Linked DNA regions of Oryzias latipes. The protein of the gene in region 2 binds, or shares a complex with, the protein of the main gene of each other region. Links are inferred from orthologs where the notes say so. Each region holds a gene or a part of one and is shown on either strand. Other genes may lie near its edges.

What was found. Proteins that work in one complex are often made in the same cells at the same time.
Region 1: washc1 (region 2) and washc3 share a complex: the UniProt entries of both Homo sapiens proteins name them as parts of the WASH core complex. The link is inferred for Oryzias latipes from reciprocal best matches to the Homo sapiens genes WASHC1 and WASHC3.

Annotation. Positions count from the first base shown.
Region 1 is NC_019881.2:17,520,987-17,525,174, reverse strand, and holds the start of washc3 (WASH complex subunit 3), read right to left. Parts: upstream 2,801-4,188; 5' UTR 2,652-2,800; coding exon 2,601-2,651; intron 2,285-2,600; coding exon 2,186-2,284; intron 1,500-2,185; coding exon 1,434-1,499; intron 1,343-1,433; coding exon 1,205-1,342; intron 53-1,204; coding exon 1-52. Other genes in the region: zinc finger protein 252, read left to right, coding at 3,489-3,528, 4,040-4,188. UniProt on the Homo sapiens protein: Acts as a component of the WASH core complex that functions as a nucleation-promoting factor (NPF) at the surface of endosomes, where it recruits and activates the Arp2/3 complex to induce actin polymerization, playing a key role in the fission of tubules that serve as transport intermediates during endosome sorting.
Region 2 is NC_019864.2:19,195,983-19,200,249, reverse strand, and holds the start of washc1 (WASH complex subunit 1), read right to left. Parts: upstream 2,801-4,267; 5' UTR 2,670-2,800; coding exon 2,662-2,669; intron 2,091-2,661; coding exon 1,950-2,090; intron 1,541-1,949; coding exon 1,429-1,540; intron 1,340-1,428; coding exon 1,193-1,339; intron 1-1,192. UniProt on the Homo sapiens protein: Acts as a component of the WASH core complex that functions as a nucleation-promoting factor (NPF) at the surface of endosomes, where it recruits and activates the Arp2/3 complex to induce actin polymerization, playing a key role in the fission of tubules that serve as transport intermediates during endosome sorting.

The sequences.
Region 1 (4,188 bases), on a different chromosome or scaffold from region 2:
CTGCAACGGCTGCTGCTTTTTGCTCAGGAGCTTCTTGTCGTGCCTCCTGAGGCTGAAGCATGAAGAAACGTTGAAAAGCAGCTTTAAAGGAAACTATAATCCTGATGAATATGGCGAAAATAATATCTGTACACTAAACAGATGCTCAGAATGTTTCTGTAACGCACACAGGCAACCAGATCCCTGCTATTCAGTCTATATTACTAACTGGTTCCTTATTTGTTGTGTAAATAAAGCAAGATTGGAAATTTCAAAACTACAAAAGAGAAATATGTGGGTCAAATCGAGATCAGCTTGAAGGGAATGAAAAACCACAAAGTAAAATTAAAAACAATTGAGAAAATTAGTGAACAGTTTTAAATTCAAAAGTACACTTTGGTTATTTTAATTAAATTAAATTTTAAAAAATAAATAAGTAAATAAAAGTACATTCTCAACTTAACATAAACCTAAACTTGTCATCAATTCAGAATTCTGACTGTTATCTGGGGCTTTGAGCCCATTGGCTACCTGGACATGATTGACATCAGGTCATAAAGGGTATGATGATGTCATTTCCGCTCCACAACAGCGGTAGTTGTTGGCGCCGCCTGTGTCATCCCTCCTCTGATGTGGCGAACAGTAGTGATAATTCTCTCCCAAAGTTTGGTACATCAATACAAAACAGCAGCTGTTACAAATATATGTTAATTTTCATTTGGTAACAGTTATAAGTTTATAGTTTTTCTTTTTAATTTTAAGTTTCAACTTAAAAAATTATTTTTCAAATTTTCTATATTCCTCTCAAGTTTAAAATCTTTTTTTTTTTTTCAAAGTTACAATTATACTTTTCACATTTACAACATTTCTTTCACATCTGTTTTTGAGTTTAAAACAGTTTTAAATTTTATTTTTTGTGTTTTTTCCTTCACTTTAGGTTGATCTGGATTTGACCCCATAGGAATTCTACATTACACAAAAATTTTGTAAAGCTATTTTAGGATTATTTTCATGTTTGTCATAAAATAAAATAAGAAAATCAATAGAGATAATTATATATTAAAAAAAACTATAGTAAAAAGGTAAATCATCGGTCGACCTTTCACAATATGAATGTACCATAATCCTTATGTATCAGGTTTGAATCTATAAATTTGTGAAAAACTGTGGGGGAAGGGGGGGTTGGGATATTTGTGTCTTTTTTATAACAAGTCTGAACACTCACCACTGAGGAAGGAACTGCTCCCACTGAAGACCCATCTGTTTGGATTTGACTGGTTGGAGTGGGCCCATTTGTCTGCACACTGTGCTGCTGGTTCAGTCCATCTACTGTGACCTCCTCCAGCCCGGGAATGGAGGCCAACTGCTCCACAAAGACAAAAAACAACAACAAAAACATTTGTTAAAAAAAGAAATGACATCCATGACAATTTGAAAAGGGTGTGACAGCTCACCTTAGCCTCCAAAATGCACAAGGTGGTATCAATCTGCTGGATGCGAAGGGATATGTTTGCAAGTTTCTGTGGGGGAAATGTTGATATTTTGGATTGATCGAGTTCCCACCATGAGGGCTTCACACATTTTGACACTGATAAATTCAAAGTCAATCGAGTTTAAAGTCCCAATCATCAACTTTTGATCTATATTGAATGTGTTTCCATTGGTCTTTTAACTATGTTAATGTTGTTTTTTAGGCAAAAATGTAAAAAAAAACAAAAAAAAAACTGTTGTTCGACAGTTGGTGCAGAGTAAGCCCGCCCCTACTTCCTATCATCCATCTGTTTACATGCTCTCCCCAAGCTTACAGCCCCTCAAACACCCGTAAACTGACATTAAGAGGACAACAAAAATGGCGAGCAATTTTGGAGCTATCCAGCCGTACAGTTTAGAGCCAGATTCCAGTTCAGACGGGGAAAACAGAGACATACATGGATCTATTTGTCTGCAACAAATGGATGCATCAGCATGGAGAGGAGCAGGAAGCTTGTGACCCATCCGCCGCATTTTCTACATCACAAATACAATCTTTTTCAAACTGCATTTTTTCGTCTGCTCCCGATTTACAACAATTTGAATTAAATAATACTCAAAAATGCAATTGTAAGCTTAATTCCCTTAAGTATATTGAGATGAATCCCACAAGAAACACGTTAAATACAGGATTTCCATCAAAGTGGGTCTTTAACGATGTAAAAGATGCACAAACCTCTTCACAAACTGTGGAAAATCGGTTCAGGAATCGAACTGTGTGGACAACAAACTGATTGAGATAGGCAACAATTCGTCTCTGCTGTATAGCTGGAACCTAGAAGGGAGTTTAAAGTCATTTAATCAGGAAAACGATGACACATGAGAGCGAGTCCTATCAGATTCTGGAGAAATTTAGAGTCATGCTTAGTGCCAGCCTTTACAAAAACATGCATTTTAAAGTAAAAGAAAACACGAAAAATAATTCTGCAAATACAAAATCGTTGGGAATATTGATTGAATCCTATTATAATGTGATTAAAATCATGTTTATTATCCCATAAAGTCTTACTTGACTAATCTTTCAGCTACTTCTTTCATTCCCACGGAGATCTACAAGCGAACCATGACTGTTAGCTAAAAAAAACACAAACCTTCGTGAGGTCAACTCCAGACCCCACGATTGGCAAACCGTCCTCGTCCATGCTGGGTCGTTAAAACTCCGCGCAAACGTCCAGTATCGTTTATAATCTGTCTACATGGGGTGTAAATAAAGAAAACAGCACATTAAAAAGGTTTGTAGTGAAGGTTTCATGTGACTTGCGTAATTACGTCATAGCGCGTCCTATTCCTCTTGTCACTTCCGCTATATTGCACCAATGGCCTAACACTTCAGCTTTTATTTTGAAAACTTTAAAAAAATGTGTCTAAATAGAAAAATAAACAAAAAATTAAATAAAAAGAATTACAAGAAGAATGGAGAGGATTTAAATAAAACTACAAGGATATTTTCAGGTCAATGAGTAGAAAAGCCCATTGAGACGACTGTTGTTTTGAATTTTGGCTACACAAATAAAATTGAATTGAATTAAATTGAATTAAATTGGATCTGAAGTTTAAAATTGATTAAATAATAAATATCAACACTTAAAACCCTAATTCCATTTTATAGCACTGTTATTTCACATCTGGTTTAAAATACTATAAAGTTTAGTCAACAACCAACTTTATCACTGCGGTGAAACGTCTTAGTTTTTGGGCATTTAACTTGTGCACATAATCTATTGATAATACATTTAAAACAATACCATCTTAAATAAAAAAATATACATACTGAAATATTCGTGTTTATTTGCGAATATGCATAAACTACATAACAATGTTTTCGATTTTGAATCTGAAAACTCTTATTTTGAAAGCGGAACCCTCAAAAACATTGGAGGAAACGATGTTTGCGTCCCAACAGCGCATGTTAGCTAGAAAAACCAATAAAAAATATTTTTTTACAGTTACTGTTATTTTCAGACTTTTAACGCTGGACTATGCAAATGGACGTTTTTGGGTCAAAGAAGCAAACTAATCGTAAGTGTATTCAGATTAATAAATGTAGTCGTAAATCACGTTTATGCTTTGAAAATACTCTTTGGGACCCGACTAACTTAAGGAATGGTGTGGAGTATAAACTGGCTAACTGTTAATGTTGATGAAATCACAGGTAGTTTTTTTCTGTTATGTGATACATTACGTTTACAGACCAGTTGTACTTTTTATTGTTGTTGAATTTTAATCGTTTCAGTCAATATATTCCCATGTTAAATCGTTAACATAGATGTAAATCCAGCATTTATTTCAATTTCATAACAGATCATGAAAGGCACATCGCCAATTTAGCATTTGTTAAGGTTAAGAAAATTCTTTTTTAGACAATTTAATATCTTAAATTTAAAATTCAGCACATCATTTTTTTATTTGTAAGGTAATGCTACTTTTGAGTGGGGGTTTTTCACCTCTAGTAGTAGCATGAACATGCCTAAAAACAGGCTAATTACTGCCCTCTATAGGCAATATTTTGCATCACACCTTTCTTTTTCAGACCCCAGCTTGCCTCTGTCATCCCTGCGTCTCTTGGTTCCCCCTCTCCAGCTTTTGTCTGCTGCTGTGTGGCATCTTGCAAAGCATAAAGATGTGTTAAATTACGACAAGCTGCAGGACTTTGTGTCTACTGTGACAGAGGCCATTCCT
Region 2 (4,267 bases):
ACAGACTAGTGGATCTTAAAGTGTAAATAGGTTTTATATCCTGATAATTTTCAATATCAACAAGTTCGTTCTAGTTGAAAAACAAAAAATGTGTCCATTAATGTTTTAAAAAAAAAAGACTGATTTAGGGTTTAAAGGGATTCAAGAATCTCGAGGAGTTAAGTTGAAAGTAAATGTAGGAATTATTACCAGCTTCTGTTTGCTATAAAAAAGCAAGTACACACCTGTTGGGTTCCAACATCTCTCTTTTTACGTTCTGATTCAATTTTGCACATTGTTAGTATTTGACGGACCTCGCTGAACACTAAAGCCTCGTTGAGCATTTCCATTTTAAAACGGATCCATTAAACCGTACAGAACCGTAATTTTTGGGACCCCGTGGGTTGTAGGTCCATACAGAAATGAAATAGAACGGTTAGGGCGGAGCTACCATCATCAAACGAAGAAACTCGTTGATTGGCAGAAGGTCGTTATGATAAAAGAGAGCGCCAAACCAGCGCCAATGTTTCCAAACGGAATCTTTTGTCAAACAGCGTTAAATTCTTTGTATATGCTGGATGAACTCCATTGTTGTTGTTGATAGCTTCGCTTTTGCAGTAGTCGTACTACTATGACGCAAAGCAATGCAGGCAATCTACACCCAGAATGCACCGTGACGGTCCAACTTTGAGTGGAAACACTCACCTGAATTGAATAAACCATTCCAAACCGTGTCGTACCGCTCAGTGGAAACGAGGCTAATGCCTCCTCAAGTATCTGAATGGAGAGCATTTAAAGTCTTCCTGAAGATGAAACAGGCTTTGTTCAATGTGGGAAAGACAACTTGACGTTCTTGGAACCAGGACTTTTGATTCTTTTGATGGTTACTCAAAACTCATTAGGTATTCTCCCTCAGGCTTATCTTAAACGCACATCCCTCCAGATGCCAGAGTTACAGCAGCGGCTGGAGACAGTGAGATCTGCTCTTTGCCAACGATAGCATGAAGCATGCTGGCGAAAAACACAACGGGAAATCTCCAACCAGCAGGATACAGCGGAGTTTAAGTGAGTTAGACTGCTTCTCTGAATGCAGCACCACAAAAATCAATGCAACGCTTGTAACTTGAAACTGCAGATGCTATTTATCAGTCACATGATGGGAGAAGATGCCAAAACCTGAACCGAAATCTACATTTTTGTGCATTCATCTCACCTGCAGAACCTTCTCATCAAAAGGCCGAAGTTTACTCTGAATCCTGCGCCTGGAGCAGCTTTGTGAGGAAGGGTCTGCCGCCCCTGCAAAGATGGATGTATATTCCTGGAGCTGTTCTGGGGCCGGGTACTTGGCACTGGAGAAGACCTGCAACACAATTTGACCTGCTTCTGCAATTGTCACACACCATGGTTCCAATGTAGAAGTTTTCATCTAAAAAGATGAGGCTTTGTTACCTTGGTGGCCTTCTTACTGCCTTTAATCTTATCAACCCTGGCTTGAGCGAGTCGGATCCGGTCAGAGACGCTCTGCAGCTGGTGGCGGTTTTTCTCCACGCTCTCTGAAACCCTACAAGCAGGACCAGCATGAAGGTTATGCAGTTATTTGAAATCCTTACCAATTATTGTTTAAGTGCTAAAAGGGTTTAGCCATTTATGTTAGACAAAAAAATGCATTGTAATAATTGATGTGTTGTTTTGGACATTATATAACAAAAACATTAACTCAAGTTATGTCTTGACCCAAGGTAAAAAATAAATAAACAGGTCAACAGACAGTTGTTGTTTTTTTAAGAGCTTTATCACTCAGTACTGCTTTTATAAATACTATCAATGTTGGTGGCAGCAAATATTGTAACGGTAATGAGTCACTTTTGAAATTAAAAACCAATTTTTGGGAAGTTAGTGTCCATTAGTATGCAAAACTGACATACTTTTGAAAGATTTTCCCCTTTTTTTAAGTTAGTTTTTTGGCTTGCCTTCTAAAAATGTCGGTGGAAATTGCCTCTAGATACAGAAGTGCATCAGCGATCTGATTGACAGCCTCTTCCCGCCTCAGGTCCGGCTGCACCAGAGGGACCGAGTACACCTGGGCTTCCAGGCAGTGTCTGTGTGTCATCCTGCAAAACAACAGCAACACCATAGCACTGTTAGTTGCTCTATACTATTCTATTCTATTCTATTTCAACTAACTTTATATATTCAATAGTAAAATTTAGGATACAAAGGAAAGAATGCATTAAGGCCTCTTATTAGCACAAAGAAATATTAACAATTTAAATAAAAACAATTAAAGTTGAGTTAACAAAGAAATGTATGTTAAATATAACCTGGACAAAACCTTTATACTAGTTCCAGGTGAACGGCCTTTATTCTTTTTAGGACTAAAATGGAATTTGACTTTTTTTAACATCTCGTTGAAAGAAAAAATAAAATTCATAAATCCTCATTTGACTCTCACATGACAGTCAGCGGCGCTGAAATGATGTTGCAACAACCGTTTATTGCCAAACACGTCGCGTTATTTTTTTGGGTGTTTTGTAGGGCTAGCTGAAACCTTGTGAACACCATTTGCAAGTACATGATGATCCTAAAAAGAAATAAACTAATTATTAGATTAGGAAAAGAGCGACACAAAAACTGAGAACATCACCCGTTATTACCACGTCGTCATACAACCTAGCCTCTTACCTGACCATTGGTTTGATTTACAGTTGAGTTTCATTAAAAGAATAATTACAATCTAGACTGTCGGTGATAGCTGTAGCTTTTTATTTAGCAAAACAGTTTACACTTCCGCATCTGAGCAACACGTGACCACGCCATTGCGTTAAATGGTGCATTCACGGTGTGTCGGAAACTTTTTAACTAAAAGTTCATCTTGCACAGTGGTTCAGTTTTGCCCCCTCAAGACTAACATTTTAGTAAAGGCAGCTAGTGCAGATAGTCATACCAGAATTTTTTGTAATTTTTAAAATGTAGTTTAAAAAAAGTGTGTGTGTGTGTGGGGGGGGGGTATGTCTACTCGTTTACAGTGCTTAGCATGAATTACGTATTTAGAAAAAATCTAAATTGCTTAAAAATGTCTAATTCGTGTAGGTGTATTACATATTTAGGCAACTGACGAACTTACATTTATTTATGTATTTATTTATTGATTTATTTTGTTATTTATTTATTTATTTATTTATTATTTTATTTTTTTATTTATTCATTTTATGCATAAAGCCTTTGCCACCAGCAAAGGCTTTATGCATAAATTACTTTTTTCGGAGAGCAGAATCTTTGAGGTTTTTCTAGTTTGAAGTTTTACTTGCTTTTTTTTGTGTTTTATTTAGATTTCTATTATTCTATTCTTTTCTCTCTATTCTATTCTACATCTGCTAACTTTAACACATTTTTGGTTTATATTAGTAAACCTTTACCAAACCATGGATTAAAAGCTATTTTTAGTGCAAAGATGAAACTTTTAGCTAACGTGTTTCTTATTTTTTTTATTTAAATTATCAGCCATATTCAGATCAAACAACCTTGACATAATAGTTTAACTGCAAGCAGAAGGAAAGTTAATAAAGTATCTATAATCTAGCAGTGCATATTTATTAAATATTCTGACATAAAAAGTAAATTGTAACGACAAAATAAATGAAAAACAACAAAGAAACCAATGTGAATTTAAAAAGAAGTTACTAATCCCCCATTAAATGTCCCACTTTATTCATTAATGACCATTAACACTGTAGATTGAACCTCCAAATTCACTTCAGTTAATAAGTCTGATTGGTGTGGAATTTACAAAAACTATGCATAAAGAAAAACTATGAAGGGACATCAGGGCTTAGTGTTGACAGATCTCCTTCAAGACACAACAGTCCGTTAGAAAATGACAGTGAAACCTCGTTTTGTTGTAATTCCCCTGATATGATTGTTTAAAAAATATCCTAATAAAAAATAGTCTATTTTTAGATCATTTGTGTAACCAGTTAAGTGAAAAATAATTCAAACAAAACAGAATGCAGTACTGATTTGTATCCATAGGGTGCGTCCTTGTCCTTGCTTTTTCTCCTGAATGCGTAATGACGCATCCGTCTAGAAGCGCTCCCCTCCCTCCTGTCACATCTGGATTTGCCTCTTCTCATCAGCAGCACTCAGCAGAGAGAGGAAGAGCAAAGAATTGAGGGAAACGACCTGAGAAGTAGGGAGTAGCTTGTCGTGGCATCCTCTTTCCTTACACAGAATCATTTTTTCGGAAAGAGAAACGATTCAAAATTTCACCTTCTCATCCTCACGCACACGG